Arabidopsis thaliana: one gene and its partners. The protein of the gene in region 2 interacts with the protein of the main gene of each other region in a pairwise test. Each region holds a gene or a part of one and is shown on either strand. Other genes may lie near its edges.

Region 1 (3,529 bases), on a different chromosome or scaffold from region 2:
AGTACGGTGCCAGGTAAGATTGTCCAAACTACGAATAGGATATTTTTAGTGCAAAAGTACATGCATTATGCATGAATCTTCATTTATGATTCTATTTGTCTATTTCCTCAGGTAGGGTTCGCTCACTATTCTTCGTTAGGTAGCTAGCTTAATTGCTTTAGCTTCTCGGATTTTACCCGATCCGATCACTCAAGCTTTATGACACAATGTAACTCATCTTCTTCTTGTTCTTACACAGTTACACGTATAGCTTCAGACTGTCGAGCTCTAGACACTAAAACAATCAACAAAGAATGTGATTGGGTGAATATGGTGACATTGTGGTGAAAAGAAAATATTTATTGGTAAATAAAAATAAATGTAAAATAGTGAATTAGTTAAATGGTATGAAATGGAGATATCTTTCGGTGAATGAGAATGTTATAGTTGTTTTTAGAAAATAGCAAAGTCATATTGGTAAAATATTGAGAGAAAATGTAAAATGTTTTTTTTCCGTAAATGACTTTGAAAAGTATAATTTATTTGATAAGCTTGGATATACAAATATTTTAACCCGCTAAATAATATAGATATATCCAAAAACATAGATAACATGATTATATGACAAAAACATAAATATGTTTTATAAATTAGATGTCTACATAACGAAAATAATGTAGTAGAGGAAATGTGTTCTACAAGTTGTAGATATAAGAGCCAAAACATATAAAAACTTCATTTTGATAAATTAGATGTGCACATAGAATACTAATGTTAAAGAATTCGTCACGTAAGATTTAGTTATAACTATTATTTTTCTTAAAAGAAAGTAAAATAGTCAAAATTTGAATCATTCTCTTTAGATGGAATTAATTTGATTATTTATTCAAATACCACGTTTGTAATTACAGTCATTGAGTGCAAATATTAATATAAAAATGGTAGAACATTGTTGGTTTTGTTTTATCATAAACTTTTGTAAAATGTTGCCTGCATTTTCCAACGAACAATTCTGTTGATTCGTTTCTTGATATGAATAAAAAACCTTCATTATTGTTATATTATAGTACCCCAAAAGAGAAAAAAGAAATAGAGTCGTCTGGCTAGAACGTGAACACGAATAGATTAGTTTAGTAGTACTCTTACGCGTCTTAATTTAATTCTAGTGCCGACTAAATATAACCGCAGATTAGTTTAGTTAATAAACAGTGCAAGACTATTATGAGGTTTGACGATTTTACTTTAGTTTATTTAGTTAGTAGTACAATATTATTTAATATTACAATGCAGTTTGACAAAAGAATCTGAATTTAATTAATTTAGTAAAAGCCTTTTTACAGAGAGAATTTTACGTGTGACAAGGAGACACAAAGAGCTAGTTAACGCGGTTTTAAAAGTCCCATTAAGACAGAAGAGCACCAGCTCTTGTGCATTACCTTGGTAAACATGACTTCAGCTACTTTAACGTTTAAGATTCTGAATTATGTTTAGGCCTTTTAACCAAAAAAAAAAACTTGTAATTTTTGTATTATATATATATATATATATATATCTATAATCATGCATGTGATTTCATTTTGCATCTCATTTATCAAAATAATTCGATAGTTAAATTATTCTTATGATTAACTTTGTCTTTTGTTTGTACCTTAAAAAATCACATGCTCTTAGCTCCTAGAAGTTGCCTCTAAAAATAGAATCCAATGTTTCCTCTTATAATGTTTTATAACTTTCTGTCGTATCTTGATATTAATATTCTCATATGAGTACTGATTTTTGTTATTTACATTTTTATTCAAGATTCTGAGGCTCAAGAAGTAGTAACTTTTAGTTGTAAACAATAGTGTACTTTTGTGGAACTAAAGAATTAGCTTGGAGCCTTGGAGGTCAAATCAATAAATATGCATTTTTGAAAATAAAAAATAGGGATTCTCTTATTAGTGATCTGTGATTGGGTGTAGCATATGGGATTGTGATTAAGGAAAATCTTTTTTATAAATAAATTAAAAACACCTGTCTCTTACATTATTTAAAAGAAAAGTATTAATCTCTTTGTGTGTGCCCCATGCTACTTTCTTTGACTATGTTCATAGTATTTTTTTTTCTTTTGAGTTCTTTATGTTTCTCTTTCCATTTTTGTTCTCTATAAATAGAAACACACCATTCTTCTCCTCCAACTTCCTCCCTTAATTAGTATCAAAAATGGTGAAAACACTTCAAAAGACACCAAAGAGAATGTCATCTCCATCATCATCATCTTCATCATCCTCATCAACATCATCATCATCCATAAGGATGAAGAAGTACAAGGGAGTGAGAATGAGAAGTTGGGGTTCATGGGTTTCAGAGATCAGAGCTCCTAATCAAAAGACAAGGATCTGGCTTGGTTCTTACTCAACTGCTGAAGCCGCGGCTAGAGCCTACGACGCAGCACTCCTATGTCTTAAAGGATCCTCAGCTAATAATCTCAACTTCCCAGAGATCTCAACTTCTCTCTACCATATTATCAACAATGGTGATAACAACAATGACATGTCCCCTAAGTCTATACAAAGAGTAGCAGCTGCAGCTGCTGCTGCCAACACAGATCCTTCCTCATCATCAGTCTCTACTTCATCTCCATTGCTTTCCTCTCCATCTGAAGATCTCTATGATGTTGTCTCCATGTCACAGTATGACCAACAAGTCTCCTTGTCTGAATCATCATCATGGTACAACTGCTTTGATGGTGATGATCAGTTCATGTTCATTAATGGAGTCTCCGCGCCGTATTTGACAACATCACTTTCTGATGATTTCTTTGAGGAAGGAGATATCAGATTATGGAACTTCTGCTGATTCTACTTTCATTATACCTTATTCTTTGTTTCAATATATATACTTGAGTTATGTAACTTATACAATGTGTTATACATTTTTTTCTTCCCTTTTCTATCAATTCTCACAATGTATGGAACATTTGGGGATCTTTGTACCAATATCTAAATTATTTTTGAAATTAGATATTTTTCATGTTAAGAGTTCACTAAATCTAGTAGTAGTGGTTAAGTATGGAAATAGATTTATAGCTTTTGAACAAAGAACTTCGAATGATAACAAGTTAAAAGGTAAAAACGAAAAAGTACAGAATCATATTGTTGTTGATTAAATTCTGAAACCTAAAAGTTAAGAGTTAGTGTTGAAAACAATCATTTCAGATTTTATAGTATGAATGCAAAATTTGGCGTTACTGACTTTAACACTAACACTGTTTGATGTAAATGTGTACATGATACAAAATAAGTGGTGGTAAGATGACTATGCGATATAAGTACTGTATATATGATTTTTCTTTATTAAGGATATAAAAGTATTAGCTAATGAGTTAAACAGAAAGCAGATTTTTCATGTGAAAAGTTTTGCAAAGTCAAAGAGTAAGAAGCAAGTTTCATGAGGCTTGTCATAGAAGGCGATGATTAATCCTACTTAATTATTGTTGAATAGAGTAAGTGTATAAATATTATTTATTTAGAAGAAAGATAAGGAAAAAGAGAGAAGAGACAAGAGATGC
Region 2 (3,759 bases):
CAGGTTAACTTTGTCTCCGTCCATATGTATTGTTTACTTAGTTGAATTCTTTAGTTTATTAAGTGATTAACATATATCTATATATATATATTTTTGAAACAGAGGAATTCCAGAAGGGTAACGATAAAGAATGGTTTATTATAACGGAGAGGAACAAAGTTGATCAAGGTTTAAGCCAAACAAAGAGAGTTGGTAATGGTGCGAAAAGGCAGAAACGTGGCGACACTGACGGAGGATATTGGCACGCAAAAGTGGCTGCCCAAAAGATTTAAAGCTGGAGATGGTGTCGTTGGCAACAAAAGGCCACTTGCATACTACGTTGGGAAACCATCAGAAGGCGTCAAAACTGATTGGTTAATGCAAGAATACTCTCTTGATCACTCTTCTCACAACACGACAAGGTAAGAAGTGTTTCTTGGTTCCCAAGTTATTTAGGTTTTTAAGTTTTTTGGATTCTGTTTTGAGTCTTGTTTTGAGTCTTCTTCTTGTTTCTGTTGGTGCGTCATGAATCCATTTTGTGTGTTCTTCTGTCAATGATCACGTTACAAAATCATGAAACAGGTTTATGGTGGAAAACATAAATAAAACACAAAAAAACATAAATAAAAGAGTAAATAAACATAAAATAAAATGCTTACCATTGTAATTCTTAATCAAAAATTACAATGGTAGCATTTTATTTATTTTTGATGGAAAAATAAAACACACAAAATTCAAATCAAACTCCATAGATAGGTTGAGATCAACTGCATTTATTTTCTTTCTTTTATTCCTTCCTTCACGATGTTTTCTAGTAAACCGGTATTGTTCGACACTCTTGAAAATGAATCAGAAATAAAAGAGTAATCGATGGTGGAATCACCAAAACTCTGCGTTTTTGGTTGTGGCGAGGATAGAAAATTGCCGAGAGTTCATCAAATGGAGTGAACGAGGAAGATTTTGTTGTCGTTTCTTCTCCTGCACCCGAACATGATGTTGTTTTGGCTGAGTATTCATTTATCTTTGTTATAATTAATGATTACAAAGTTTTTATTATTATTGGTTTGTTTATAGCACATACTTTAGTCTATTCTATATATAAATGTATGAAATGGTAATGTATTGAAGATCAAAGTCTTACTTGATATTTTTGTTTTTGGAAATTTATACACTAAACATTAGGCTTTTTCCTTTAATTCAAAGTTGGATGTAAAACTCTTTAACACTGTTGGATGTAAAACTCTTTAATACTTTTTAAAAGAAGAGTTTTCTGCAAAATAACCCTCCAAATCAATCTCGTTTGCAAGTTACCCTCCAAGTCCGAATTATGCAAGTCAACCCCACCTACTCTAAATCACCTGCAATACAACCCTCCCGTATATCGATGACGTGGCAGTCGATAACTCCGTTTGAATACATAAGGATTTTGTGCAAAAAACCCTCAATATAATTTTTTTTTGCAAGATAAACCTCCATGTCAAATAAATACAGATTAAACCACAATCTGAAAAATCTCCTACAATGACGTGAGAGTCGATAACTTCTAACATAACTAAGGGTTGAGGCTATAAGTGTCTACATTGATATCAAGGGGTGTTTATTCTGAATAATCGGATCCGAATTCAAATCGAATTATATATTAATATGGTATGAATACATTCACCTTTTTCTTTATCCAAAATTTTGAATTTAAATTCAAACCAAACAAAAAAAATCAAAGTTTTATTAATATTTTAGGATTAAATACCAAACTCTGAATTTGAGTACTAAACTGTTTATCCCAATGATAAATGTTTTGTTTTAGATACTATTTTACGTATCAAAAGTTTTTTTTCTTTTCGTCACGTATCAGAAGATTCAAAACTAAACCAAAATTCGGATTGAACACTCTTAAATTTGTATGCATATTATCGCTAAACTCATTACAAAAATGAAATGGAGTATTTGTATGTGATGCATAGATTACTAGTTTGATAATGTTTAAAAGGGAAGATACAAAACATATAAATAATTTCCCCGTAATTAAAGTGTGGCAATTAGAAGCTGTTATCCAAATTACTTCAGGTTTATTTAATTTTCAGATGGAAGGGTATTTTCGTCAATACTCTTCGTATGTTACTGAACATCATAAACCCTTTATTCATTTATCGCCGTCGTTGTCTCTCTCACCGGACGTTGTTTTGTTTCCCTCCGGCGATTTCATCGGAGACCTTCACTCATGGCCACAAGGTTCTCTCTCGCTCTATAGTCAATGAATAGAACCTTTAATTTTACCTTGTTTAATTTCTCGTCTCTCGCATTGTTAGTAGGAGATTAAGAGCATTCAAGAGATGGATGCAAGCTAACGGCGTTGATTGCAGCGAAGCTCTCAACCTCGTCGACGACGAAAACGATGGTGTCTCTGTGAGAGCATTCTGCGATTTGAAGGAAGGAGATGTTGTTGCCAATATCTCAAAAACTGCTTGTCTCACTATCAAAACCAGTGGAGCTCGTGAGATGATCGAATCTGCTGATTTAGATGGAAGTTTAGGTCTCTCTGTGGCTCTCATGTACGAGAGAAGCTTAGGTGAAGAATCTCCTTGGGCTGGTTATCTTCAGATTCTTCCTATTCAAGAAGATTTGCCTCTTGTTTGGTCTCTTGAAGACTTAGATTCTCTCTTATCTGGAACTGAGCTTCATAAGGTTTCCTTTCCAAATTTTGATTTACCATTGCATTGTAGTTGAATTCACTACTCATCAGTTTGAATTTTTTGTAGGCAGTTGGTGAAGGAAGATCATGTTCTTATATATGAGGATTGGAAAGAAAACATTTTGCCGCTTACCTCTTCACTGCCTCAGAATGTTGATTCTGATTCGTTTGGAATCAAAGAGTATCTTGCTGCTAAGAGTTTAATTGCTTCACGGTCTTTCGAAATCGATGATTACCATGGATCCGGGATGGTTCCTCTTGCAGACCTGTAAGTTTACCTCACATTTGTCTTCATAGGGCTTGTTAAGCTAAATATGTATCAACCAAAGAAAGTTGTTAGAATTGAGGTTTAATACCTTAGAAATGCTTTCCTGTATCAGCTGTTTTTACTCCCTAAGCTTTGCATTAACCATAGACTTATATAGTTAGTTACTTAGTTTATGGTCATATAGATGTTTTCCTTATTTCTCTGTTCACTTCCCAGACTTGTGAGTTTTTATTGCATCTTGTATATCGGCCAATTTGCCTAGTTGTTGGACCAACATTTGCTTGTTTATGTTGTCCTCAAGAGATTTCCGCTGTGTAGATTTTAAGGTCTCGTTAGGTTCAATCACTTTGATAAGACCGAGTATGTTCCCAGTCCTGTCAGTGATTGCAGATAATCTATACAGTTAGCAATCAATGTGCTGATTTTTTTCACAGCCTTCTTCTGGATTGCAGCATCTTATTGGTTATTTACTTGGATCTGTGCTTTTCCGTTTTGATTTTTTTTTTCATGTGGAAAAAATGATCCTTAGAAGTCGGTTTCGATGAACTAAATGTGATTCTAGCATGCTAGGTGAATTTCCTGACAAATGCTTGATGATTTACTCATTGTCCACTCTTCTTAGTATTGCCTGTTTATTTCATTTTGCAGCTTTAATCATAAAACTGGGGCAGAAGACGTTCACTTCACTCATGAATCCGATTCTGAAGCTGATGAATCTGACAACGATGATGCTGCAAATGAGACCACTGATGAAGACGAGCCTTCCAGTAAAATTTCTTCCTCGCCTGAGCAGTCTTTTGAGGAAGTTCCTGGTGAAAACACT
Region 3 (3,759 bases), on a different chromosome or scaffold from region 2:
CCTAGGATATGATGATTGCTTTAGAGACACACAGAAAGAGAGAAACGGTGGAGGGTTTGTTTTGGGCCCCTGACACCATTAAAGCCAGTAAGGATTAAGTGTATCCACTTTTAATTAATCCTAATTTATATACTATACGGATTAGTAATATTATCCTAATGGTTTTTGTATAACTTAAATATTTGGCGTGGTAATATTAAATGTTACTCTGCTTGTATGATTGTGAGCAACCAGATCTCTCTTATCTGTACATCAAAGATTTGGTTCAGGTTACTAAATCATGGGTCTTCTACATCTATCACTATTGAATATAGTTTCAGATGTCTTTGATTGTCAATGAAAAATATCTTGGGTATAATTATTACTAGTCAGTGCCATTTTCTGACAAGAGAGAACGTGTCTGTTTCTTCTGGGGGATTAATTAGGTTTAGATAATTTTGGTATCAAGTTTTATGATTGATAATATACGATTAAGTCATTGGCTAACTAGCTAAAAAAACTTTTTTTGGCTAACTTGGTAATTTTTGGTGATGCAGGTTGTTCATTTGGGTTTCTGTATAGAAATTATCTCCTTTTTTGTCCTTCGAAACTTATCTTACAGTATCTAATATTGAATTTATATTTTCATAATATAAATTATTGTGGATTGGTCATAAATTATGATCTCAATAATAATGTTCTTATGTTATCATTATTTGTTTGTATTTTTATAAGTCAGTGAGTATGACTTGTACCGTTCCTACTTCTATAGTGAAAACGGAAGTCTTATAATGATAATGAAGCTTGTTTTTTTTTCTTAACACTTTAGTATATATAGAAAAATATACATATTTTGGAAGAGATTATAATAAAGAAAAGATGAAGAGCAATCAATTGTCTTGTAGGATTTTCCTTTCTTCTTGTTATATTTATCGTCACATATTTCATCGTTTTTTCACTATAAGTGCAATAGATACATTTTCCACGAAAGTGTTTTGGAGATCCATATGAAAATAGACCAACCAGAATGGGAAGACAAAACATAATGTGAAACCCAAAGAAGATGGAAATGGAGGGTGCAAAAAGGTAAAAAGTAAAAGTAGAAATGATTTGGGGTTTGAACGGTCAAGCCATTGCAAACGAGAGTATTTGAGAAATGATTGGACCTTCTTCTTCTTCACATTGGATACTTTCACTACTTTTCTTACTGACGATGAACGAAAGTACGAAACCAACAAAATACATAAGCGAGCGTCTTATAAAACATGATTGCATGAAGTAAGTATACTTTGGCTTCAAATGGATTTTTTTTTTTGTATAGCTTCATTGATGATCATTTTTATATTATGTGAATGATATTTGTGTTTCGGTGGAATTGAAAGATACTAGATTCCGTTAGCTGAATTTGTTTACATGTGATGAAAAGTGAAAGTCGACTGATTCTTCTTTCCAACCAAAACAAGCTATTTGGCATAATTTATTTTTCCACCAAATGGGCAAATGTATATCTTTTAGCCAAATATAAATAAGCCGAAAAAGCATGTTAACAACAATATGGATTATGAGTATATCTTACTAATTAGTAATTACATCGAGAAAAATAAACAACTATTTAGATTTTGAACCCACCAAATTCAGCTAATTTTCCCAAAAACATTTGTTATCGGATTTGGTAAACACTGTGGCATCACGATACCTAAACTTTAACGCACGCACGCATCTCTGTTATGATGAAGGTCACTTTCGTCTTTTTCTCTTGTATATATCTTCTTCCTCGCTAACTTCTCTTCGCCATCACTGAAACTAATATCTCTCTGCTTCCTCCTTAGAACTTCTATTTGCTTCTCTTGCATTCCACTTTTGTGAGTTTCTATTATCTTCAGTTTTCGAGATAGAACTTATAAACTCTGTAATAATATGCATTGTGCATATTTTTCTAGGTTAAGTTATTTGTTTTAAAGTGTTCTGTTTCTTGCTAGCACTAAATCTATTGCTCTCGTTTATTTTGCAGATTCATTTGAAGTAGTGAGATTGACTCCAGAGATAAAACAAGAAAGAGCAACAAAGCAACAGCATGCGGTGGTGGTTGTGTCTTTCTGCTTATGTTTTTCGTACAGTAGTAGTCTTCTGTCGTGTGATTCTGTAAACTGCGATCTTACTTCAGACATAGCTTTTTTATGTAATGGGGTCGTCTTTTTTCTTCACATTCCCTTACTTTGTCCGCCAAATTATTTAAGACTTCGTTTGGATACTCTGTTTTGGGAGAAGGAATCAGTTGGGGAGAAAGTAGTTATGGTTTGTCAATCAGCGGGACAGACAAGATTTCGTACACTCAAACACGAACACGGTATCACAGGAAACATTGTAGTTAGAGTCATTGCATGCTTTCAACCTCTCCAAGATTGCCAGGTTATTTTCTTGTTTGATGAGTTTATGTTATTGCAATATATTTAGATTTTTAAACCACCAGAACTTTTTTTTATTGATTTCGTTTTAGCTTTGATGTTGTGTATTTTGCAGGCTGAATATTTCCGTCAATTGTTGAAGCCCGTCACGTAGAGTAGCTCGATACTTATCGTTCTTGTTTCAAGCCTAGTTTCTTCTATCCATTTAGTTGGTAAGTTCCAGTCTTTGCACACATAATCTTTTGACCTCCCATTCTTGATTATAAGTAGCTGATTTGTTTGAGATGATGATGTCCTCTGTTTTGGATAGTTGATTTGTTTAGTGTTGGATGGGACAAGATCGTGGGTTTGGGTTTCCTACTCAGCGCTTGTGTTCCTTGTCTTCCCTAGCTCTGTCTCATCTCGGGAAGCAAGACTTGAATTTAGTATCTAAAACCTGCGGCGACACCACCGACATGTTTTCTACTCGTGGATCTTATCAAGTTTCTACCCAAGTCTCTCAATCCTATTTTGATGGGTATTGTGGATGGGTTCATGGGTCATCCCACCTACAGCAGCAGTTCTTGCCTCCTCAAAACCAATGTATGAAGCAAGTACCTCTTCAAGTAGACGGTGTTATATCTAAAGCTGAGGAACAATGTAGTCAGAAGAGGTTCCTAGTGTTTGATCAGTCTGGAGATCAGACGACTTTGCTACTCGCTTCCGATATACGGAAATCTTTTGAGACCCTAAAACAGCATGCCTGTCCTGATATGAAGGAAGAGCTCCAAAGAAGCAACAAAGATTTGTTTGTTTGTCACGGAATGCAAGGAAATAGCGAACCGGATTTGAAGGAGGATTCGGAAGAACTAAATGCATTGCTTTACTCTGAAGATGAGAGTGGTTATTGCTCTGAAGAAGATGAGGTTACAAGCGCAGACCATTCCCCAAGCATTGTAGTATCAGGCCGTGAGGACCAAAAAACATTTCTTGGAAGCTATGGACAACCATTAAATGCTAAAAAGAGAAAGATACTCGAAACCTCGAATGAGAGTATGCGGGACGCTGAATCGAGCTGTGGTAGTTGTGACAACACAAGGATTAGTTTTCTGAAACGTTCTAAGCTGTCTAGTAACAAGATAGGAGAAGAGAAGATATTTGAGACTGTAAGCCTCTTGCGCAGTGTAGTCCCCGGGGAGGAACTGGTGGACCCGATCTTAGTCATCGATAGAGCCATTGATTACCTTAAATCATTGAAGATGGAAGCGAAAAATCGAGAAGCATGAGGTTCTTTGTTTGTAGGATACCTAAGACATATTAGCATTGGCAAGTGGACTTGGTTTCTAAACAAAGTAGTAGACATATTGGACCGTGGTACTCTTGTCAAGCTACAAAG

Evidence for each region.
Region 1: the proteins of AT3G56570 (region 2) and AT1G44830 interact in a two-hybrid assay, tested with the Arabidopsis thaliana proteins (one large-scale study listed by BioGRID).
Region 3: the proteins of AT3G56570 (region 2) and AT5G50010 interact in a two-hybrid assay, tested with the Arabidopsis thaliana proteins (one large-scale study listed by BioGRID).

The regions. Positions count from the first base shown.
Region 1 is NC_003070.9:16,931,611-16,935,139, forward strand, and holds AT1G44830 (Integrase-type DNA-binding superfamily protein), read left to right. Parts: upstream 1-2,088; 5' UTR 2,089-2,181; coding exon 2,182-2,817; 3' UTR 2,818-2,958; downstream 2,959-3,529.
Region 2 is NC_003074.8:20,956,463-20,960,221, forward strand, and holds the start of AT3G56570 (SET domain-containing protein), read left to right. Parts: upstream 1-2,121; 5' UTR 2,122-2,197; coding exon 2,198-2,208; intron 2,209-2,285; coding exon 2,286-2,661; intron 2,662-2,739; coding exon 2,740-2,936; intron 2,937-3,584; coding exon 3,585-3,759. Other genes in the region: NAC065 (NAC domain containing protein 65), read left to right, coding at 1-3, 209-405.
Region 3 is NC_003076.8:20,346,843-20,350,601, forward strand, and holds the start of AT5G50010 (transcription factor bHLH145), read left to right. Parts: upstream 1-1,772; 5' UTR 1,773-1,841; intron 1,842-1,990; 5' UTR 1,991-2,388; intron 2,389-2,499; 5' UTR 2,500-2,596; intron 2,597-2,694; 5' UTR 2,695-2,713; coding exon 2,714-3,649; 3' UTR 3,650-3,759.